Linked DNA regions of Macaca fascicularis. The protein of the gene in region 3 purifies or fractionates together with the protein of the main gene of each other region. This does not show direct contact. Links are inferred from orthologs where the notes say so. Each region holds a gene or a part of one and is shown on either strand. Other genes may lie near its edges.

Region 1 (4,184 bases), on a different chromosome or scaffold from region 3:
GTTTAATTGGCTCACAGTTCCACAGGCGATACAGGAAGCATGGCTGGGGAAGCCTCGGGAAGCTTACAATCAAGGTGGAAGGTGAAGGGGAAGCCGGAAAGTCCTACAAGGCTGGAGGAGGAGGAAGAGACAGAGTAGGGAGGTGCCACACACTTTTAAACAACTAGGTCTCATGAGAACTCACTCACTATCACAAGAACAGCAATGGGGACGTTCGCCCCCTTGATCAAATCACCTCCCACCAGGCCACACCTCCAACACTGGGGATTATAATTCCACATCATATTTGGGCAGGGACACAAATCCAAACCATATCACTGGCATTTACATTTTTGCAAAAAAAGATTTTTTTTTTTTTTGAGACAGGACCTCACTCTGTTGCCCAGGCTGGAGTGCAGTGGCATGATCTCAGTTCACTGCAGCCTCAACCTCCCAGGCTCAAGCAGATCCTCCAACCTTAGCCTCCTGAGCAGCTGAGACTACAGGTGCATGCCACCAAGCCGAAGGGATTTATATTGATCTATAAATTTATATATAAATCAGATATATTTATATAAAATGTATACATTTTGCAATCAGTCTGACCTGGGTAGGAATTCTAGCTGTAATATTTACTAGCTCTGTGATCTTGGGAAAATTATTACCCTTTGTGAACTTCAGTTTCCCTTCCATAAAATGGAAACAATACCATTAAAAATCAAATGGTATTGTCTCCATTTTGTAGAAGGAAAACTAAATGTTATTTTAATCGACGATTCATTAATTTTTAAGATTGACCATTAACAGAGATACTCCATGGAAAGCGGATCATACAGAACCTGGCGCATGTAAAGCAGATCACACAGAACCTGGCACACGTGAGCATTTGATGTGTGCTACGCTACCCTTAGTGACGACTTTAATTATCATGCGCATTCCCAGCGCTTCCTATGGTGCCCAACACACAGCGCACGCCCAAAGGCAATTTTGGAGGATGGGGCAGATGCTCTGCCTCGGGGAAAAAAATCCACACACACACACCTGCCCTGATGTTGGTGGCTGGGTCTGGAATATTACGTGGAAATTAAGCTAAGGATGTGTGCCTTCCACATCAAAAGCCGCAAAAATCTAACACCGCGACTACTGAGTCCGATCAGGGAGCACAGACTGGAACAAGCTCCCACGGCTTGGGCCGTCTGCGCGTGCGTGAGCCGGAAACCCGAGGCGCTCCCTGGGCCCGCCCTATCGATCGACCCGATCGGGGATCGTCAGCTTGGTTCTGGTCACAGAAGTTGCTCTTCTCGCGATGCTTCACCTCTGGCGGCGGGGAAAGGGCGGGCTAACTGGAGAGCGAGGAAGAAAGAGACACGGCCGCACGCTGCTTTCCCAGAAGGCTGTGCGTGCTCCTTGCTTCCTCCGCTTTCTTCCGAGTGGTCGCGTGAACGGCTTCCTGCAGCCTGGCCATGGCGCTTCACGTTCCCAAGGCTCCGGGCTTTGCCCAGATGCTCAAGGAGGGAGCCAAAGTAAGGGCTGAAGGAAAGGAATGAGGTGGGAGAGTCAGCATAGGGCTGCGGCGGCCGCGGCGAAGTAGGAGGGCCTACTAACGGGCTGAGCGTGCTGCCCTGGCACAGCGGCCGGGGGAGAGAAGATTCCAGAAAGGGAGGTGATCTTGGAAGGACTCGGCCTTCCAGGTGTCCCGGGGCCTACAGGCACTTCTCTTCTTCCGCGACCGGGAGAAGGCTGAGGGGTGGGCGGCACGATGGACATTGTACACCTTGAAGGTGGACGGACGTGAAGCCGCGCGTGCGTTTTGCCTCCATCCATAAATGGGGCTAAGGCCCGTCACGCTTAAAAGGGGTTGTGAGGGTGAAATTGAATAACGTAGATGAAATTGTCTTGGGAACTGCGACGCCGATTGACACATAGCTCGCGAGTTATAGGATGGGGAAGAAGGAGAACTAGGCGATCCAGAGAAGAGAGTGTGGGAAAAAGGGCCGGGTCGTGGTTGCTTCTTTCCCAGTGAGAAACAGGGCTTTCAGCTTGGTTGACAGAAGCCATGCGTTGTAGCCAGATGAGTTCCAGTCCCAACTTATGTTAGCTGGCTTAGTCTAAAACCTAACTCTCTTGGGTTTTGTTTTCTTGATCTTTAAATTATGGAGATTGGACCAAGAGGGTGGTGTCTTTGAGTTCTGACCCTGTAATCTGCAGGATAAGTGATACAGTGTTGCAGATGACACTGTTTTGTTTAATGGCCGTGTCTTGAACGTTATTTCAGTAGCATAGTTTTAAAACATATCTTACTGCACTGTTGATAAATTTGTCTCTTGTGCTATTCAAATTGCGTTCCTCTGTATGTCCTCCAGATTTTGTTAATTCAAGAAATAGATCAGTGTGGTCGAATTTAAGGTTATGCGAGGTACAGGGAGCATTAACAGTTTAATACAACTAGGTTCATGTTTGTAGAATGCACTCTTCAAATAATGTCATTATAGTAAGTAAATGTCAGGGTTTAATGTAAATGTTGGTGGCATCATCTTTTGAAAATAATATGGGCTGATTTCCTTAAAAAATCAGGCTGAGATATTAGCTTCCAATTTGGGTTTTTTTCACTAATACAGTTTTGGAAAACTCGTGTATCACAAAACATTATTTGTATTTCCAATGCTAGTAGATTTTTACAGAACACTGAGCTATTTCATTCAATAAATAGGTACTGAAGGAACTGCAGTGAAAAACACAAGTCCCACTTCTCGTAGAGTTTATGTGCTTCTAAGGCAGATATAATGATTAAAAGGAGAATTCCAAATAATGATGAAAGAAACCGTACTATAGTAGAGGATGACAGGAGGTTAAAATGTCTCTAAAAGAAGCATCAGGAATAGACAGAACACTTAGATATTTAGGGAAGAACTCTTAGCTCTGTGCTTAGTGAGAGAAGCCCCTGAGCCTGGGCTGTTTCCCCCCACCTCTTATTTAGGTGTACTTAACTAGTACAAAGACCCTGAGGAAGGAATGATTTGAACCTGTTTTTTTTCTTCTTCTTCAAAAAAACCAGAAAACAGGTTATAGGGCTGAAGCTTACCAAAGAAAAGAAAATGGTAAATTTAGAGGAGGAGCTATACAAGGATACACGGGCCAGGATATGTAGGGCCTTGTTTCCCTGAAGAGGGATTTGCATTTTATCCTAAGCAGGATGGGAAACTGTTGAAGGGTTTTTTTTGTTGTTTGTGGGTTTTTTTTTTTTTTTGAGACGAGGTTGCGTTCTGTCGCCCAGGCTGGGATGCAGTGGCGCTCTCTCCACCCTCCGCCTGCCAGGTTCACGCGATTCTCCTGCCTCAGCCTCCAGAGTAGCTGGGATTACAGGCGCACGCCCGGCTAATTTTTTGTGTATTTTTAGTAGAGACAAGGGTTCACTATGTTGGCCAGCCTGGTCTCAAACTCCTGACCTCGTGATCCGCTCGCCTAGGCCTCCCAAAGTGCTGGGATTACAGGCGTGAGCCACCGCGCCCGGCCTTGAAGGTCTTAAGTATGGGAATGATGGGATCTGATCAGATGGTAGTTTCTCACAGAATGGGGAGTGAGGGGAAGAAGGAAGAGTGGAAGCCAGGAGTTCAGACTTAAGTGTTATTGCTGGAATACAGTTCTTATTGCTGAAGATGCTTTTAGAGTAGTGGCTATTGGCAGGGGTAAAATACAAAAAAACTTAGCCTCGTGTGGTGGCGCGCGCCTCTAGTCCCAGCTTCTCAGGAGGCTGAGCCTCCAGAATTGCTTGAACTGGGAGGCCCAGGTTGCAGTGAGCTGAGATCGTGCCACCGCACTCCAGCCTGAGCGATAGAGACTCTCTCTCTCTCAAAAAAATGTAACAGCTATTAACCTTGGTTTTGGATCACAAAATCATGGCTTGTATTGTAAAGCAGTACTGTGTAATAGAACTTTTTGCAGTGTTGGACATATGCTGTATCAGCCTGTCCAATGTGATATTCACAAGCCACATGTAGCTACTGGGCATTTGAACTGTGTGTGGCTCCTGCAATTGAGGAACTGAATTTTTAAATTTTAATTACTTGAAAATTTACTTTAATTGCTTTCACTAGCCCCATGTAGCTGGTGGCTACTGTATTGGGCAGCACAGCTCTAAAGAAATGTTCTCATGCACTGTAGATTAGTGAAATATATCTGAGGACCCAAGTAAACCTCAACTCTAA
Region 2 (4,230 bases), on a different chromosome or scaffold from region 3:
AAGTTAAGAGAAGGGGTAGGAAGTGTAGCATTGATTATGGGGGCAAGGAAGACGGCAGAGTCCAAGATCACAGAGAGAAAGGGGTCGTGATGTGCCACTAACAAAATGTGAAAGAGCTTGCCTTTTTTGGGGGGAGGGGCGGGGAATAGAGGATGGGAATGGAAGATGGAGACCGGAAAGGATAAGAAGTAGTGAGAAAATCACGGGGTTGTTTTTAAGAATGTCATACAGTGTTAGAGATCATTATTTTACACCTTAAAAAGACAGCTTTTCAACTTTTCTAAATCCACGATTTACAGTCGGAAATAAAATTGACATCATGGTCTAGTACACTTGTCCAGTACCTATAATCGAAACAAAAGGTTTATGAAACAATAGTTGCCCTTACTAAGGGCAATGGACTCTAATATTTTCTATTGGATTCCATTTCATTCTTTTTGAAAGCCGGTTGCCTTCTGCTGCATTTATTTTATGATCTATTACTGTATCACGACCCACAGTTTTAAAAACTGTGCCTAAGAGGAGACTCAACAAGTCTTCCTAAGTTGGAGGGGATGGTAGGGCATCCTATCCAAGCATCCGGGAGGCAGCTGGAGAAGCAAACCTGAAGAGGCTCCGGGCTGGGGAGAGTTTGGAGAGTGTTTAGCGAAAGCCCTGATAGGAGAGAGCGCTGTGAAAAGCGAGGACCCAGACAGCTGTGAGCGCCCATTCAGTGATGGAGGGGGGACCCTCGGGACAGTGTAGACGCGAGGAGGCGAAGATCAGGGTGACGTCGAAGCCAGACTCCGGCAGGAACCCAGCGACCACCCCGGGGGCTGCATTTCCGCGGCGTGCACGGTAGGGCTTCGGTGCCTCTGACCTCGCGTAGCTTTCCGAAGCTCCTCCACTCACCCGCCCTCCCCGGGAGCACGGCGCGCGCCCACTCCTTCATTCATTCATTCCACTCCTAACTCCGCGAGCGCCAACCGGCTGTGAGATGGGCGAGCCACTTTGCCAGCCTGGGGCTCTCTTTCGGGTCGGTTCCCTCCCCGCCAGCACACGCGCGCACCCTCGCACCTGGGCACACACACACGCGCGTGCACACACGCACACACACACACAAAGTTCTGGGGGCCCCTCTGCGGACCGGCTCGGCTGCGCTGGGCTCGGAGCCCTGCGCCCGCCGGGTCCAGGCCGGCCCTCTCACCCGCTACCCCGGGCCCGCCCCGCGCCCAGTCCCCCCGCGCTGCGCGGCAGCCCCTCCCGGCGCGGTCCCCTCGGGCCGCCGGCGCGGCTCTGCCCTTCGGCTCGGCCTTCCCCGCCTCGCATCCGTGCCATCGGCGCTCGATTGCGCGCGGACTCCCTGTGGCTCTCCCGGCCCCGCGCCCCGCCCCCGCCCGCCGCCCCCCTCCGCCAGCAACTTTTGCGGAGCCCCCGCGCCCAGCCATGCTGAGCTGAGCCCCGCCGGCCCTGGCCGCGCGCTGCCCCCGGCTCCCGCCCCTCCGCGGACCCGCTCGGGGGCCGCGGCCGCTCGGCGCCTCGGCCTCGGCCGCTCCGCCCGCCCGGCCGCCCCGAGCCCCGAGCCCCGAGCCCCCCGCGCCGGGCCCGGGCGGCAGCGGCGGCGGCGGCGGCGGCGCGCCCGGCCCCCTCCCCCGGCGCCGGCCACGGGAGGCGGTGATGCGGGCGCGGGCGGCCTCGGCTGCGCCGAGAGCGGAGACACAGGCTCAAGATGGCAGATTCCGACTGAGGCTGGGGGGGCCGAGCTCGCGCGCCGCTTTCCCGTCCCCGTTGCCATGAACCGCGGACACCCCGGCCCCGATGGCCCCCGTGTACGAAGGTAAGGGGCGCCCAGCCCCGCCGACCCCGCGCCCGCCGCCCGCCGCGGCCCCCGCAGCTTTGTTCTGCCCGCGGCCCCGCGCCCGCAGCCCCCGGCGCCCGCCCCAGCCCCCACCCGGGGCCGAGGGGGCCGCGACCCCCTCCCTCGCCCGGAAGATGACCGGGACCCGGCGCCGGCAGGGTCCTGCTTCCAGGGCGGGGAGAGGGACCGGGGGCGCAGGAGGGGAGGGGGCGTGTGCGAGGGTGGGCGGCTGCCCGCGGAGGGCAGGGGCGCCGGGGAAGGCGGACCGGTGACTGTGCTTTTTATTTATTTGCGATAAATGAAGGTGATGCGGCTCAGCTTCCACCGCCCCCCCACATTACCTTTCGGAGCACCTCCTTTCCACTTCGCTCTCCGCCCCGCGCCCCTTCCCATTTCTCTCCGCGCCCACCCCACGCTCCTTTATTCTCCGCGAGCCTCCGATTTTGGGGGGGCTGTGGAATCGGAATGCACGGGGCTAGGTGGGGAGAGAGATGAAAAGTCCGTGTCAGAGCCAGGCAGAACAATGAAATAGGCGAAAATCTCCCCGCATTAGCGTGTGGAAGGGGACGTGGACTTTGGGTTTTCCAGCCGGGGGAGCGGCGGATACGTTTTCCTGGCTCGGTCTGGGTCGACCTGTGTTGTGCACCTTCACCTGGCGTCGGGGTATTTTTCCCCATTTGCCTTTAGCAAGAAAGAAAAGAATGCAAGGCAGAAAAGCAGTAGGTCTGCCTCGCACACTGTCTTTCGTTTCTCTTCAGTCCGTTCTGTCAGCTTCCAGCCAGAAAGCAACCCAGAATCAACTAAGTTTTTACACTTCGATGTGTTTTTGTGTGCTTGTAGTAGGAGAAATTTTAAACCCAAGTGTGTCTGATTTTTCAGTCGTTTCATCGTGTAAATGTTTGTCTCATGAAATCATTGAATTCGCAGCCTTCACATACTTTTAGTGTGGGTCCCCCTGGCTTTCTTTCGGTTTTGTTCAGATATTCTGTGGATGAAATCGCAAATGAGAGGGGACAGGGTTTGTGTGGCACAGAGGAGGGCACGAGGGGGGAATGTAATCCGCCTGTAAATCCGGAGAACAGTTGTGGCCAGTGAGACAGGGAAGGCGTTAATAGTTTTATCTCTGTTATAAGAGGCTGATTTAAAAAAAAAAAAAAAAAAACTTATCTGAAAAGAAAATCTGTTATTAGATTCAGGGCTCCAAATGAATTAGGTTTCTGGCCGGAATAAAGTTACCAGTCAGGCCCTGGATAACGAGGCTGTAAATAACCTATGGACTGTAAATATTTTTTTTCAGACTCTCTTAGAAACAAAGGGGCTGTTTAGAAGGCAACAGAGAGATGTTATTCCAGGGGCTTTCCTCTTTGATTCTGAAGAACACAAGGTCCATTTAACCATTCGACAAAACAAAACGAAATTTCTGATCACTCCACCACGCAGAATAGAACATGCCGGTGGACATGTGAACATGCGGGAGAACCCATGTCGGGCGTTCATTGTTCATCTGCGTCTACAGGAGGGGGCTACAGTCAATGCTCCCACTGTCTAGAGTGTTAAAATGAAACAATTTTCTCTTTATTAAGTACCTCCTTGAGACTCCCTCTGCTGGACACTCCTGGTGAGTTGCGAGAAGGAACTTGGCATTGAATTCAGAACTATAGTAAACGGCTGGTTTCCCTGTTACTAGGGACCGGGTATGTGAGTTGGGGTGTATTTTGTCAACTTTGTGGAAAGCCATCTTGGGAACTGCACTGTTCTCCTCCTGCTCCTTTCATTCTAAATCCATGTGGAATGTAGGCCATGCCCCCGAGGCTGAGACTTGGCTCTCCCCATTCCTGCTACATTGTTCTTCCAGTTCCTTACGCCAGATAAAGAATTGCAGGTGTGTAGGGTGTTACGGTTTAAGAATAATCATGGATCTCAAAAGTCTCATGAACTGTTTTTATTTGCCAGCCTTCCTTCCCTTTCTCAGGTGACCTCCGTGGTGGCCTCTTTCAGCCCTCGGTTTCCCTCCATCTTATCCATGTGCCTTCTTCATTCTTCCCGCGCTGTGCACCCTTTTATTCCGGATGTTTCTCTGTGCACCTTTATAATTATTTTTCTAATGTTCTTCCCTATCCCACCTCAACTAACCCACATCACTCTGCCAAAAGCCCAGGCCTGGGTGTTTTTGAAAGAGATTGTTGGATATGCTCTACAACAGGTGACCTCTAGAATCAAGGATTAGGTTGCTAGGACCCGCATTCACTCACTGATGATTGTGCCAAGACTCTGATGACCTCCTTTCTCCCGCCATGGTAACATCCGCTGGGTTCAGGAAACCTGATTTTTCCCCTATCTCAATCAGAACACATGGACTCCCTGTGTGCACGCTAAATGAGCAGAGCTTTTCC
Region 3 (4,207 bases):
CTGGCAGATCATTTGAGGTCAGGAGTTCGACACCAGCATGGTCAACATGGTGAAACCCTGTCTCTACTAAAAATACAAAAATTAGCTGGCCGTGGTGGTACACCCCTGTAATCCCAGCTACTCGGGAGGCTGAGGCAAGAGAATCACTTAAACCTGGGAGATGGAAAAATCATTTTCACTAAAAATTATATTTAGCGCCCAGAATGGTGGCTCAAGCCTGTAATCCCGGAACTTCTGGATGCTGATGTGGGAGGGTCGCTTGAGCCTAAGTTCGAGATCAGCCTGGGCAACATGGAGAGATCTCATCTCTACAAATAATTTAAAAATAGCTAGGTGTGGTGGCAAACGTCTGTTGTTCCAGCTGCTCTGGAGGCTAAAGTGGAATCGTTTGAGCCTAGGCAGTCGAGGCTACAGTGAGCCCTTATCACACCAGTGCACTCCAGCCTGGGTGACAGGGCAAGACCCTGTCTTTAAAAAAAAAAAAAAAAAAAAAAAAAACTTTAATGTTATAATCCAACAATTCAATACAAACCTCCTTCAATTTTGATGAAAGCTAAGAATTGGAAACCATTTATATAAAGGTGTCACTTGGTCTCTGGCCCTTCTCCCTTTCAAACTCACAGGCACAGATACTTTTGGGGCTGGATTAGCATTTGCGTTGGGATGCACGGCGGGGAAGGTACAGGATGGGAACCGACAAAAACAGAGCCAAGCTGGTCAGGTCGGTGTCTACCCCAGAATTCGGGGACATTTCTAGATCCTGCAGGAAAGCGCGGGAGGACCTGACTCAAGCTGGCCTGGCCCTGAGCGCAGCTGCGCCCCTGAAGCCTGGCCCTGAGGCCCGAAGACAGCAGCTTTCGGGTTAAAGGGGCCTTGGGAAGAGAAGGGGCAGGAAGGTGGTACCCGTTGCGCATAGGCCAGGCTGCCAGGCCGCGGGGCTCGGTCCCGCGAAAGTAGTAGGTCTTCCGCTAAAGCAGAATTGTACTTTTACTCGACAGCATGGAAAGGCCGCTCAGAACAGCAGCAGCAGAGGAGAAGTCAGCGCAGGTCACAGACAGTTTCACGCTCAGAGACTTGGCCTAGAACTTGGAGGCCCGCTACTCCAGCACGCTCGCCTCCCGGCCACCCACGCCCCCACCACCCGCACTGCGCCGTTATCTGCCTGACTGACATCTTGGTCAGCCAATGATCTTTGGGGCTGCCAAAGCGCCTGCCTCCGAGAGTTGGGCGGGGCGAGTAGTTGCAATGACAAACATTTAACCCAATAACGAGGAGATTTCACACGCTACGGCCGCAATAACCAATGAGAAGAAAGAATCCTTTCGAAAGGACGTGTCAGGCAACCAACGGCCGGTGGCGCTGCAGGGGTCCCGTGGCTTCCGTTCCGAGAGGGCGGGGCGGCGTCCCGAAACGGAAGGTGGTTGTCGTCGGTGCCCAAGCTGGTTTGAAACTAGGGGTCGGGTTCGGTCGTTGTCGTTGTTTGTCGCCGCATCCCCGCTTCCGGGGTAGGCCGTTCCTGCCCGCCCCCGCCCCTCCTCCCTTCGGACCCATAGATCTCAGGCCCGGCTCCCCGCCCGACTCGCACCCCGCCCGCCGCAGCCCACTGTTGACCCGGCCCGTACTGCGGCCCCGCCGCCACCATGTCCCTGCACGGCAAACGGAAGGAGATCTACAAGTATGAAGCGCCCTGGACGGTCTACGCGATGAACTGGAGTGTGCGGCCCGATAAGCGCTTTCGCTTGGCGCTGGGCAGCTTCGTGGAGGAGTACAACAACAAGGTGGGCCGGGCAGGGCCTCGGAACCCAGCTGGCGGGGAGCGGGCCCCGGGAGCGCCCTTTCCGGGCCGGAGCCCAGGCCCCAGAACCCTCCTGCGGACTCGCCTTAGGGCCATGGAGCGGTTCCAATGTCTGGCCCTGTGCTGAAGGTTTCGTACTCGTTGTCTGTCTCATTTAATCCCGGCAGCATTCTTGTGTAGTCGGCAGTGTAGTGGGGAAACTGAGTCACGGTTTTGTGACTTGCCTGTGTCAGGCAGCTATTTCGTGGTGGAAACAGGTCTTAAAACCGGGTTTACGCCCCAAAGATACTCCATTTATTCCTCCCGTGCTCTCCACTCCTGCCGCATTTTTTTCGTTGGTGGGCGGGGAAGGGAAGAGGGAGTGGTAGTTGTGAAGGAAAATGCAGACGCTTCTATTCGCGGTCGTGCACTCTTGGCCACACTAGATTTCTATTAAGACGATCTGTTGTACAAGCTTCCCCGCCCCCTACTCCCACACCCCGGGTGTGGATCCTAGCCCTTCTGCCAGAATTACTGTTGCTCTTGCTTCCTGATAACCATTCTCTCTAAAGCAATCTCTTTGGAAATCTTGGCCTGTGGCATGATCCCGCGGTTGTTTCCTGAACACAGGATGACAGGGCCTTATCTTTTGGCTTGTTTCATGCTAGTACAGTTGTGTGACCTTTAGTAATAGATCTTGCTGGACATTCATCAATTTGAGAATCCTTTATAGAAGCACGGTGTCGTAGGGGAGCTTTTAAACTGGCATTGCAACATAAACTCATCTTTGAAAGCTGAATAAGTCAGTTGGAAGCATTTTCTTTGCTTTCTTCCTTTTACTCAATTAAAGTTGAATGATAGCGATCAGAGCAACTGAAAGCTGTGGCTAGTGATATTTAAAGCCACTACTGCCTTATGCCATGAGCATCAGATTTAAGAAGAGTAAAACTGGCTGGGCGCGGTGATTCACGCCTGTAATCCCAGCACTTTGGGAGGCCGAGGCAGGCAGATTACCTGAGCTCAGGAGTTTGCGACCAGGCTGGGTAACAAGGTGAAACGCTGTCTACTAAAATACAAAAAAAAAAAAAAAAAAAGAAGAAGAAGAAAACTGTTCAGTGACAAGGCTCATGCAGGGGGGAAAAAGCCAGGTGGTCTAGGAGTGGGTCCTGTCTGATTATTGACTAGCTGTGAGGTGTTGCACAGGCCTGTTTTATTATCTGTGACCCACAGTTTGCTGTAGGGAAGGGGTTCTGGTTTACATGTGAGGGTCTTGTAAAAAAGAAATTTGAATATTTTACAGTTTGTTTACAGTTTTTCAGGAGCACGTTTCTCTAGAGTAGGTCTTCTTTGGAGTCCTCTTTGAGAAGCTGATGAAAGCGATGAATTTTCATTGTCCAGACATTACACATACGTGAACATATTTACAAACAAATCCAAGCAATATGCACTGATCTTTAAGTTCACCCATTTCCCGGGCGAAATAGAGCTGTATTTCCTTTCCTCTGATGCTTCTTTCTTCCTTGTGGCCCATTGTGGACAGCTGAACTGGGAATGGGATTCAAGATTCTGATGTGGACACCGTGTTAGTAAAATTAAGACCACTAGAACTATTGTTTAAGGATACACGTGGAAAATAAAAAAGTATGTCTTTCAAAGAGCTTAAGCTTAATTTTTCACACAAATTAATGTTTTTTTCCTGTGTGTTTTTCCAGTGTCACGGGGTAAACAATAGTTACTCCTATTCTCCAGAGAGGAGAAACTGAGCCACAGTTAGGCTGCTGGTAGAATCAATGGAGTAGTCAAACTGCTGTTGCAGGAACTCTACCCCAGTTTGTCCTTTCTTTTAGCAACTCTCTGGAGCTTCCTCTTTGTTCCAGGCACACAGGTAGCATGGCTTAGCAGTGAAATGCAAACTAATAACCCCACTATCAACAGCGTAAGCAGTTAGCTATATCTTAACTCACATGATGTAGGCAATGTGCTGTCTTAAAATCATTTTTGTGCCTCCACCTGTCAGTAGGTCAGGGTTCTTAAATTCTGTGTGCTATGATCATCTGATACCAATAGACCCCTTCTCATAGTTATGTTTTCAAATGCATAGAACACGTAGAATTACAAAAGAAACCACTTACGTTGCACTACAGATATAAACATGTTTTTAGAAGTGGTGATGTAGTCATATGTACTTTTAATAAATATATTGATTTACACCATCCAGTGTAATTATTAATGTAATTTTGAAGTGGTGACAAGGGTAAACAGCATTTCAAGATGCTTAACTGCACCGTGGTGGGAAAAAATATTTCTCTTGCTGGTGAAGTCACAGATACTTATGCCACTGTGAGCACCTAACCCATTTGTAATTGAAGGAAATAAAACATATTTAGCTAGAGGTGAATGGAAATATGGGCATGATTTTCCAATTCAAGTTCA
Region 4 (4,199 bases), on a different chromosome or scaffold from region 3:
TTAAGTTTAGCATTTTAAACATTTATAAAACATTGCTACAAGTCATAGAGACTACCAATGTAGTAAAATAAAAAGTGTACCTTACGTGAGGATCATTACGTTGGTTTAATAATTACTTCACAGAAACATGGGCTCATGAGCCAATTTGTGCTAATTATTTAAACCAGAAACAGTTTCTGTAGGTAATTCAGCTCTAAGCACCATTAAACAGGGTTATGCCAAGTAGAACAATGGTTATATGATCCTCAGAATAAACACCCCAGCAAATGCAAACTTTTAGAATAGTAACACAAGTTAGTGAGAATCCGAAGGAGAGGCAACATTTTATTTAAAACTATCATAGGCTGCTAAGTGCCCTCTTTAAATAAAATTTTGTGTAGTTATTAATGTACCTTAACACTGGTGTACCTTAATAGTGGTGTTAGAGATAGCTGGAAACCATACTACAGAAGTGAATGTTGCCTGTTTCTTTTGTTCAGTGATTAAAACTGAAATTGCTTTTACAAAAATAATTTAACTGCTACTTACAATACACATAAAATACCAAGAGGATTCCCATTTATTCACATTATTACCTAATTAGTATTTTTGCATTTCAACTTTGATCTGACCTTCAGTAGTACCTTAAAATGCAAATGCAATTAGTAAAAAATGGGGCAGCCTGTCGTTTTCACACTCAGAAATACTACCAGTTTCATTACAATTTGCATTTTTTTGTTGCTCTTGAAAGAGTAACCCCTTATAAAATCAGATACATAAAAAGTGCACTATTCCTTACTTTGCAGACATCCAGGAATGGTTAAAGCAAAGGAACTCTCATTCATTCATTCTGTTCCCCCAATTTAGATACATTTCTAGTCTCCAGAAATGGGCTCCAGGGCAGGGAAGTGGAGGGCAGAAAAGAGGCACAGGTCAAGGTATGATGAATCTCTTAAAAAGAAATCCACTTTCCCCAGAAGGCTAACCTGAAGGGAACTCCGCCCCATCCATTCCAGTCCCTCAAGTAAGAATGCATAATTTAGCTTGTCCTTCTGGTCTCATTTCCTTACAACACCTAGTATTCAATTTCCTAAGACAAATAACCCTTAGCATTTTCTAAAAGAAATAATTTTTACCCAAATACATTGGACTTTGGTCTCAATCTGAAGGAAGACGAGTGGCCTTTAACAGACCGTTCCTCCTCCACTTCCTCCTCCCCGCCACCCTCCAGTGGCTGTTCTGGGTCCCTGAAAGAGGGTGTGGTGTGGACAATCTGGGTTCTGAAGCGGATTTTGTTGAGTCTGGGTTTTATACGTCCACTAGAGCTGCCAGAGGCTTTGCGCCCTGGATCCTTGGCTTTGCCTCCGACCCACCCCTCAGCCAAGTGGTGATGTTGGTGATGGTGATGGTAGTGATGGTCTCCTCCATCATCTAGGACGTGTGAGAGTTTGTAGGTGATGAGATGCGAGGGAAGCACCTTTGAAAGCCTCCAGCGCCCACCGCTGCTACCCGCGGCGCTTTCCCCGTCACCCTCGTCCAGGGCTCCCACCAGGTTCTTGATCTCCTCAGCGATGCTCTGACTCAGGTACTGGGAGGCCTTTTTCCCACTGTAGTCCCTGATGTCCACATCGGCGTCGTAGGCCCCTACCAGCAGCTTCACGACCTCCACGTGCCCGTGCATGGCCGCCAAGTGCAGGGCGGTGTAACCCCCGCTCGTCCTGGCGTTGATGTTCACCGGCAGCTGGTGTTTGTTGGCGAAGTTGACTAGCATGGCCAGAAGCTCCTGCCTTCCGTGCTTGGCGGCCCAATGCAGGCAAGTGAAGCCGGTAATGAAGTCCCGCTTGACCAGCAGGCCGGGCTCGCAGGTGAGCAAGCCCTCCAGGCTGTCCCACTTGCCATCGGAGGCAGAGAGCATCCAGGCGTGCTCCAGGGGGTCTAGCGTCACTGAGCCTCCGCCGCTGCTCTCCTCCTCCGCGGACGACGAGGCCACCGATGCGCTGTCTGAGTCGCCACCGCCTCTGCCGCGTCCTCCCCCGGAGGAGCTGCCCGGGCTGCTGCCTCCGGGACACACGCTCCTCTTCAGCTGCGGGGAACTGCCCATCACCAGGTCGCGGAAGTTCTGGCGGGCCGGCCTCTGTGCGGTGGCCCCCCCAAGGGAGCTGCTCCTGTCCGCCTCCTCGCAGCCATGGGGCGGGGGTTCCAGGTCCTCACTGGGTCCCGGGGCCGGAGTCCGGGGCAGGGGCTGCACTTCGCGCCGCGAGTTCTTCCTGCGAGCCCCGGCGCTCAGGGGCGGCCCGTGAGCGGCGGCGTGGGGCTCTCCCTCGCCCAGCTCGCGGCCCTGTCCAGGGAGCGCCTCCGGGGCCGCTGCGTCGGGGAGCCGATCGCGCACCCCGGGCCCGGCCGGGCAGTCGGGGGCCTCGGGCTCGGCGGTCACCTGGATTCGCGGCGGGTCCCCGGAGGGCTCGGACGGCCCCTCACAGAACCTCTTCTTGAGGTGCACGTACTTGGCGCCGTCGGCGGGATCGACGCGCACCGTGGCCACGGCGTTCACCAGCTCCTTGAAGTGCGCGCGGGCGCGGGCGCGCTGCTCGGGTTCGCCGCCCAGTGCGCCCCTGAAGTGCTGCACCAGCTCGGCATGGAGGGCCCGGCCCCCGCGCTCCGCCAGGAAGCGCAGCACCGCCTCGGGGCCCAGCACCGCCTCGGGGCCCCACTCTGCCGACCCCTCCATCCTAGACCGCGCTGCTCCCCCGCCAGCGGGCGGCTCAGCGCGGTCCCATCGCGGCGGGCTCCCAGCGGCCGTCTCCCGACGACGGCGGAGTCTGGCGGGCTCAGCGTGCTGCCAGCCTAGGCGTCACAGGCCGGAGAACTCGGCCACCGCCTCACTGGGCCGCGCCCGGGGGGACACGCCCCCCGCATCCCCGCCCCGCGCCCACGACAACAGGCCACGCCCACTTCCGCTCCCCGCTGTATCAGCCACACCCACCTAGGGCGGCCTTGCCTCAGGGCCCGCCCACTTCCGGCCTCGCGTGGGCCGCAATCACTGTTCCGCAGTTCCCGCCTGCATTCTTCGCGCCCTCTTCCTGGAGTCCCGGCTCTCCTTCAGCCCGCCCCAACACTGACACTCAGTCCTCAGTCGTCGAGGGCAGCTCCCGCGAGGGGCTCGTTTGGCGAACTCAAAACGCTCAGCGCGCACCACAGGGCGTCCGCCCCGACCCCGCCCCCCGTCCACCGTCCCCGGAGGCCTCCAGCTCGGCCCCGCCCCTGTCCCTTCCCTGTGGCGGAGCCGCTTCGCCTCGCGCCCCGCCCGTTACTGCAGCGCTCCCGCCTTCCCGCCGCCGTTGTCGGGACCAGCCGCTCGGGGCCGGGCTGATACAGCCGCTTCACCGCGCCCCTCCCCGCGACCATGGCCTCCTCCGAGGTGGCGCGGCACCTGGTGAGTCCCGCCGACGCCGGGGCCCCAGCCCCGAGCTCCTCGGCCCCCGCGGGACTTCCCGGACCGCGACCCCGGCCCGCTGGCCCCCTGGTCCGGCCCGGGATTGTGACCCGCGCCCCCTCGGGCCCCGCCCGCCCAGTCCTTCCCGGCTTCCGCGGCGGCCGGGCGCCTGGGGCGGGACAGGAGCCTGGGCGCGGCCGGACCCCGGCTTGCGGGGCACGGGGCGCGGTGCCAGCGTCGGGACGGTGGGGGAGTTCTTCTTGAACGACTTCCCGGTCTTTGCCAAAAGTTAAACCCACAGCGGTGATTGTGGGTCTCTCATGGCTGTAACGGTGTTGAGGGCGGTGTGCGGACTGGTTGAATAGCGGTCATCTTTCACAGCCGTGAGCACTTCCCAGCCTCCCTGCCCCCGGGAGAAAGCCCGGCTTCCCTGGCTTTTCAAAAGCTTTCGCGTTTTACCCAATGGTGTGGTCGTCCAAGTTTTCCTCCGAACCGTTTTTTTTCCCGCCTTGACTCTTTTGTACTCTAAAAGAACGCGTTTGTTCATTGTTTTGAACCTTTCCAGTTACTTTTGTATATTTATTTCGCTTACTAGTAAGCCAGCGGTTTTCAAAGTGTCGTTACAACTATTTTCATGATAGTACCAAGGACCTGTACATCGAGTTTTCCAAAGGCTACATGATATGGAATGATACCACCGTTTGGAGGGCCGATGTCTGTGTATTCTTTTTTTTTTTGAGACGGAGTCTCGCTCTGTCGCCCAGGCTGGAGTGCAGTGGCTGGATCT
Region 5 (4,035 bases), on a different chromosome or scaffold from region 3:
TGGTGGGGAAAATTCACCAGAGTTCTGTCAACTTGAAAGTGGTGTTCATTTCCTGTCCCCCATTAGGGGTTACCCCGTCCATCTTAAGCAGGATATTCTAGGATCTCTCAGTCTCACAGCTCTGCCCACCAATAACCAGCAGGTGAGCCCCCTCTCCCCAGACCTCTAGATCTGCAAAAGGCTACCTGGAGGCAAGGAAAGCCCAGCTGTGAGTAGTCATTCAATTCTGGTGCTGTGGTAACTGAGTTCAAAAACAATGAGTCTTGTTACCTATCGTGAAATGAAAGACACCTCACCAGACACCTCACTGGGTTGTGAGGCTCCAAGGAGCACACATATTGTTAGGCTCAGTTCGATTCCCTTCAGCCCTCTGCCTGTTTGAAGGCAGTTCCTTATCTTGGAGACAACGTGCAGATGTTCTCTCTCTCTTTCCCTCTTTATTTATTTATGTATTTATCCTTAAGACAGGGTCTCTCTCTGTTGCCCAGGCTGGAGTGCAGTGGCGTGACCACAACTCAAACAGCCTCAACCTCCTGGGCTCAAAACGATCCTCCTGCCTCAGCCTCCAGAGCAGCTGGGACTACAAGCGCGCACCACTGCACAGGAATTATTATTATTATTTTATTATTTTGTAGATAGGGGTGGGAGTGGTCTCGCTATGTTGCTCAGGCTGGTCTCAAACTCATAGCTCAAAAGATCTTCCCGCCTCGGCGTCCCAAAGTGCCGGGATTACAGGCGCCTGCCACCGCGCCCGGACGCAGATATTTTCTATGGGTATCTGGAATGGCGTCCCCAAAGCTTGGCGCAGGGCTGTGGTCAAGCCGGGTGGGGGGCACAGGCCAGCCTTCAACACCGTTGGCACCAATCAGAACAAGCAACCGTCCTCTCAGGGCCGCGACGGCCCCTTTCTGCCAATGGCCAGCCCCTCGCCGGTCCCGAGACCTCGCGAGAGCTCCCATGGCTACGCCTTCCCCGGCCTCGGAACGGCCTCGGAACTGCCCCATCCTTCCTCTTTCCCCGCCTTCCAGCGGCGCTCCACTCTCGGATTGGCTGATTGAGCCGAGTCAGTTTTTTTTTTTTTTTTTTTTTTTTTCCTGGCCAGAAAGCGGTTCGACAATTGGTCCTTCTTTTGGCCCCTCCTGCGAAGCCCGCGGATTGGACTGCTGAGTCTGGCTACACAGGCCTCCGCGGGAGCGCGGCCGGGCCAATCAGGAGCTTGGCGTATTTTACAAACTGAGGAAGTAGCTCCAGCCGTATCCGAGAGAGTCAGGCGAAAAGCGGAGGAAGCTGGGTCGGCCCTGAGGGGCTCTCGGTAAGGTGAGGCACGGGGGTCTTGGAGGGAACGAGGGCTGCTGGGCTCATAGGGACGAGGGCAGTTCGAGGTCCGAGGGCGAAAGAGTAGTTTCGGGGTGTCTGGAGGTAGCACCCATAAGAGCGGTCTTGCAGGCGCCGGGGGCTTGTGGGCGCGTGGATTAGGGCAGAGGTATCAGGGATGGCAGGACAGGTGCCCCGAGAACTGGTTGATCTTTGATCTCCGATTCTACCTGCCTTCTTCCCCGTCTCAACTGTAGCCATCATGACCACCCGGCAAGCCACGAGGGATCCCCTCCTTCGGGGTGTATCTCCTACCCCTAGCAAGATTCCGGTACGCTCTCAGAAACGCACGCCTTTCCCCACTGTTACATCGTGCGCCCTGGACCAGGAGAACCAAGATCCAAGGGTAAGAGCGGCCTAATGGGGGAAGACAGTAGTCACACCAGTAATGCACCCCAACACTAAACCTCACCTTTTTGTCCCCCCTCCCTCCCCTAGAGATGGTTGCAGAAACCACCGCTCAATATTCAACGCCCCCTCGTTGATTCAGCAGGCCCTAGGCCCAAAGCCAAGCACCAGGCAGAGACATCACAAAGATTGGTGGGGATCCCTCAGCCTCGGAACCCCTTGGAGGAGCTCAGGCCTAGCCCTAGGGGTCAAAATGTGGGGCCTGGGCCCCCTGCCCAGACAGGTACCTGTTGGAGCCCTGGTAACACGGCCTCCATGGCCGAGTAGGGAACTAGGAAGGGTAAAAGTGGGGTTTTGGGGTTTTGCACTCACTCCTGCTGTCTCCTGCTTACTGTGATAGTCCTGGTTCCACCTCCTGGAAAGCTCTTTGCTCTTAGAAGATCTCCCTTTCCTCCAGCAAAATGTCATCTCACCAGGCGCCATGGGTTGTACCAGTAATCACAGCTACTCAGGAGGCTAAAGCGGGAGGATCACTGGAGGCCAGGAGTTGGAGACTAGCCTGGATGACAGAGGGAGATCCTATCTCTTTAAAAAAAAAAAAAATAAATAAATAATAAATGTCACTTCTTCTGAAGCCTTTTCCAGTTCCCCATGTCACTTGTTCTCCTAATACTTTGCAGTACTTCTTTTATAACATGTATATACCTTGGCTTGAGTCTGTTACCTGTCTATAGTTTGATGATAGCTTCTTGAGGATAGGGGCTTTGTCTTATTCTTATGGGACCCCAATGCTTAGAATAGTGTCTTATGTAACATTCTATGAACATTTGGTGGGCAGGTGTGGTGGCTCACGCCTGTAATTCCAACACTTTGAGAGGCTGAGGCGGGAGGGTCACTTGAGCTCAGGAGTTTGAGACCAGCCTGGACAACATGGTGAGACCCCATTTCTTTTTAGTTTTTCTTTTTTTTTTTCTTTTCTTTTTTTTTTTTTTTTTTTTTTGGAGATAGAGTCTTACTGTATCCCTCAGGTTGGACGACAGTGGCATGATCTCAACTCACTGCAATATCCACCTCCGAGGTTCAAGCAATTATCATGACTCAGCCTCCCCCAAGTACCTGGGATTACGGACACCTGCCACCACACCTGGCTAATTTTTGTTTGCTTTATTTATTTATTTATTTATTTATATGAGACGGAGTCTCGCTCTGTCACCAGGCTGGAGTGCAGTGGCATGATCTTGGCTCACTGCAGCCTCCACCTCCCAGGTTCAAATGATTCTCCAGCCTTAGCCTCCTGAGTAGCTGGGACTACAGGTGTGTGCCACCATGCCCAGCTAATTTTTTTTTTTTTTTTTTAAGTAGAGATGGGGTTTCACTATGTTGACCAGGCTGGTCTCAAACTCCTGACCTCAGGTGATCTGCCCGTCTCAGCCTCCCAAAGTGCTGGGATTACAGGAGTGAGCTACCATGCCCAGCCAATTTTTGTATTTTTTTAGTAGAGACAGGGTTTTGCCATGTTGGCCAGGTTGGTCTCAAACTCCTGACCACAAGTGATCCACCTGCCTCAGCCTCCCAAAGTGCTGGGATTACAGGTGTGAGCCACCACGCCCAGCCATCTATTGCTTAAAAAAAAAAAAAAAAAAAGCCAAATTCAATTGAATGAGTCTCTTTTGCTCACCTTGTATCTCAAAGTGACTATGCTAGGGTCCCTATCCCCCTCAGCTTTCCCCCTTCCTGTTCCTTCTTACCTTTCCTTCTCTTTCCTTGCAGAGGCTCCAGGGACCATAGAGTTTGTGGCTGACCCTGCAGCCCTGGCCACCATCCTGTCAGGTGAGGGTGTGAAGAGCTGTCACCTGGGGCGCCAGCCTAGTCTTGCTAAGAGAGTACTGGTTCGAGGAAGTCAGGGAGGCACCACCCAGAGGGGCCAGGTAATGAAACAGGATGTGAGGAGACCAGGCTGGGGGCGCTGAGGTGGGCATCCTGAGCTGTGCTGACAGCCTCTGTTGGTGTCCCAGGGTGTTCGGGCCTCTGCATATTTGGCCCCCAGAACTCCCACTCACCGACTGGACCCTGCCAGGGCTTCCTGCTTCTCAAGGCTGGAGGGACCAGGACCTCGAGGCCAGACTTTGTGCCCCCAGAGGCTACAGGCTCTGGTGAGTGCCCTTGAGAGGCCTGATACTTGGTGCTTCTGGGAGCTCCTTCCAGGGACAAAGCTGGCCTTTGGGAGAGGAAGTACCTCATGATGAGGCAAGGGATCCTATTGGGGGAGATGGGGTTGGTGGTGAGGCCTGAGGGTTTAGGGTCCACCTCTGA

What was found. Proteins that work in one complex are often made in the same cells at the same time.
Region 1: the proteins of DCAF7 (region 3) and CCT8 purify together in Homo sapiens (affinity purification with mass spectrometry; 3 studies listed by BioGRID and IntAct, with this or other methods). This does not show direct contact. The link is inferred for Macaca fascicularis from reciprocal best matches to the Homo sapiens genes DCAF7 and CCT8.
Region 2: the proteins of DCAF7 (region 3) and HIPK2 purify together in Homo sapiens (affinity purification with western blotting; 3 studies listed by BioGRID and IntAct, with this or other methods). This does not show direct contact. The link is inferred for Macaca fascicularis from reciprocal best matches to the Homo sapiens genes DCAF7 and HIPK2.
Region 4: the proteins of DCAF7 (region 3) and SOWAHC purify together in Homo sapiens (affinity purification with mass spectrometry; 4 studies listed by BioGRID and IntAct, counting the BioPlex papers as one, with this or other methods). This does not show direct contact. The link is inferred for Macaca fascicularis from reciprocal best matches to the Homo sapiens genes DCAF7 and SOWAHC.
Region 5: the proteins of DCAF7 (region 3) and TROAP purify together in Homo sapiens (affinity purification with mass spectrometry; 3 studies listed by BioGRID and IntAct, counting the BioPlex papers as one, with this or other methods). This does not show direct contact. The link is inferred for Macaca fascicularis from reciprocal best matches to the Homo sapiens genes DCAF7 and TROAP.

The regions. Positions count from the first base shown.
Region 1 is NC_088377.1:17,965,950-17,970,133, forward strand, and holds the start of CCT8 (T-complex protein 1 subunit theta), read left to right. Parts: upstream 1-1,384; 5' UTR 1,385-1,442; coding exon 1,443-1,502; exon of another isoform or gene 1,503-1,527; intron 1,528-4,184. UniProt on the Homo sapiens protein: Component of the chaperonin-containing T-complex (TRiC), a molecular chaperone complex that assists the folding of actin, tubulin and other proteins upon ATP hydrolysis.
Region 2 is NC_088377.1:181,456,948-181,461,177, reverse strand, and holds the start of HIPK2 (homeodomain-interacting protein kinase 2), read left to right. Parts: upstream 1-1,430; 5' UTR 1,431-1,797; coding exon 1,798-1,816; intron 1,817-2,178; exon of another isoform or gene 2,179-2,362; intron 2,363-4,230.
Region 3 is NC_088390.1:70,058,791-70,062,997, forward strand, and holds the start of DCAF7 (DDB1- and CUL4-associated factor 7), read left to right. Parts: upstream 1-1,407; 5' UTR 1,408-1,640; coding exon 1,641-1,778; exon of another isoform or gene 1,779-1,903; coding exon of another isoform or gene 1,904-1,924; intron 1,925-4,207. UniProt on the Homo sapiens protein: Involved in craniofacial development. Acts upstream of the EDN1 pathway and is required for formation of the upper jaw equivalent, the palatoquadrate. The activity required for EDN1 pathway function differs between the first and second arches.
Region 4 is NC_088387.1:17,110,188-17,114,386, reverse strand, and holds the start of SOWAHC (ankyrin repeat domain-containing protein SOWAHC), read right to left. Parts: upstream 2,801-4,199; 5' UTR 2,708-2,800; coding exon 1,112-2,707; 3' UTR 1-1,111.
Region 5 is NC_088385.1:56,144,089-56,148,123, forward strand, and holds the start of TROAP (tastin), read left to right. Parts: upstream 1-1,235; 5' UTR 1,236-1,312; exon of another isoform or gene 1,313-1,317; intron 1,318-1,571; 5' UTR 1,572-1,576; coding exon 1,577-1,720; intron 1,721-1,812; coding exon 1,813-2,005; intron 2,006-2,122; coding exon of another isoform or gene 2,123-2,242; exon of another isoform or gene 2,243-2,356; intron 2,357-3,492; coding exon 3,493-3,650; intron 3,651-3,737; coding exon 3,738-3,875; intron 3,876-4,035. UniProt on the Homo sapiens protein: Could be involved with bystin and trophinin in a cell adhesion molecule complex that mediates an initial attachment of the blastocyst to uterine epithelial cells at the time of the embryo implantation.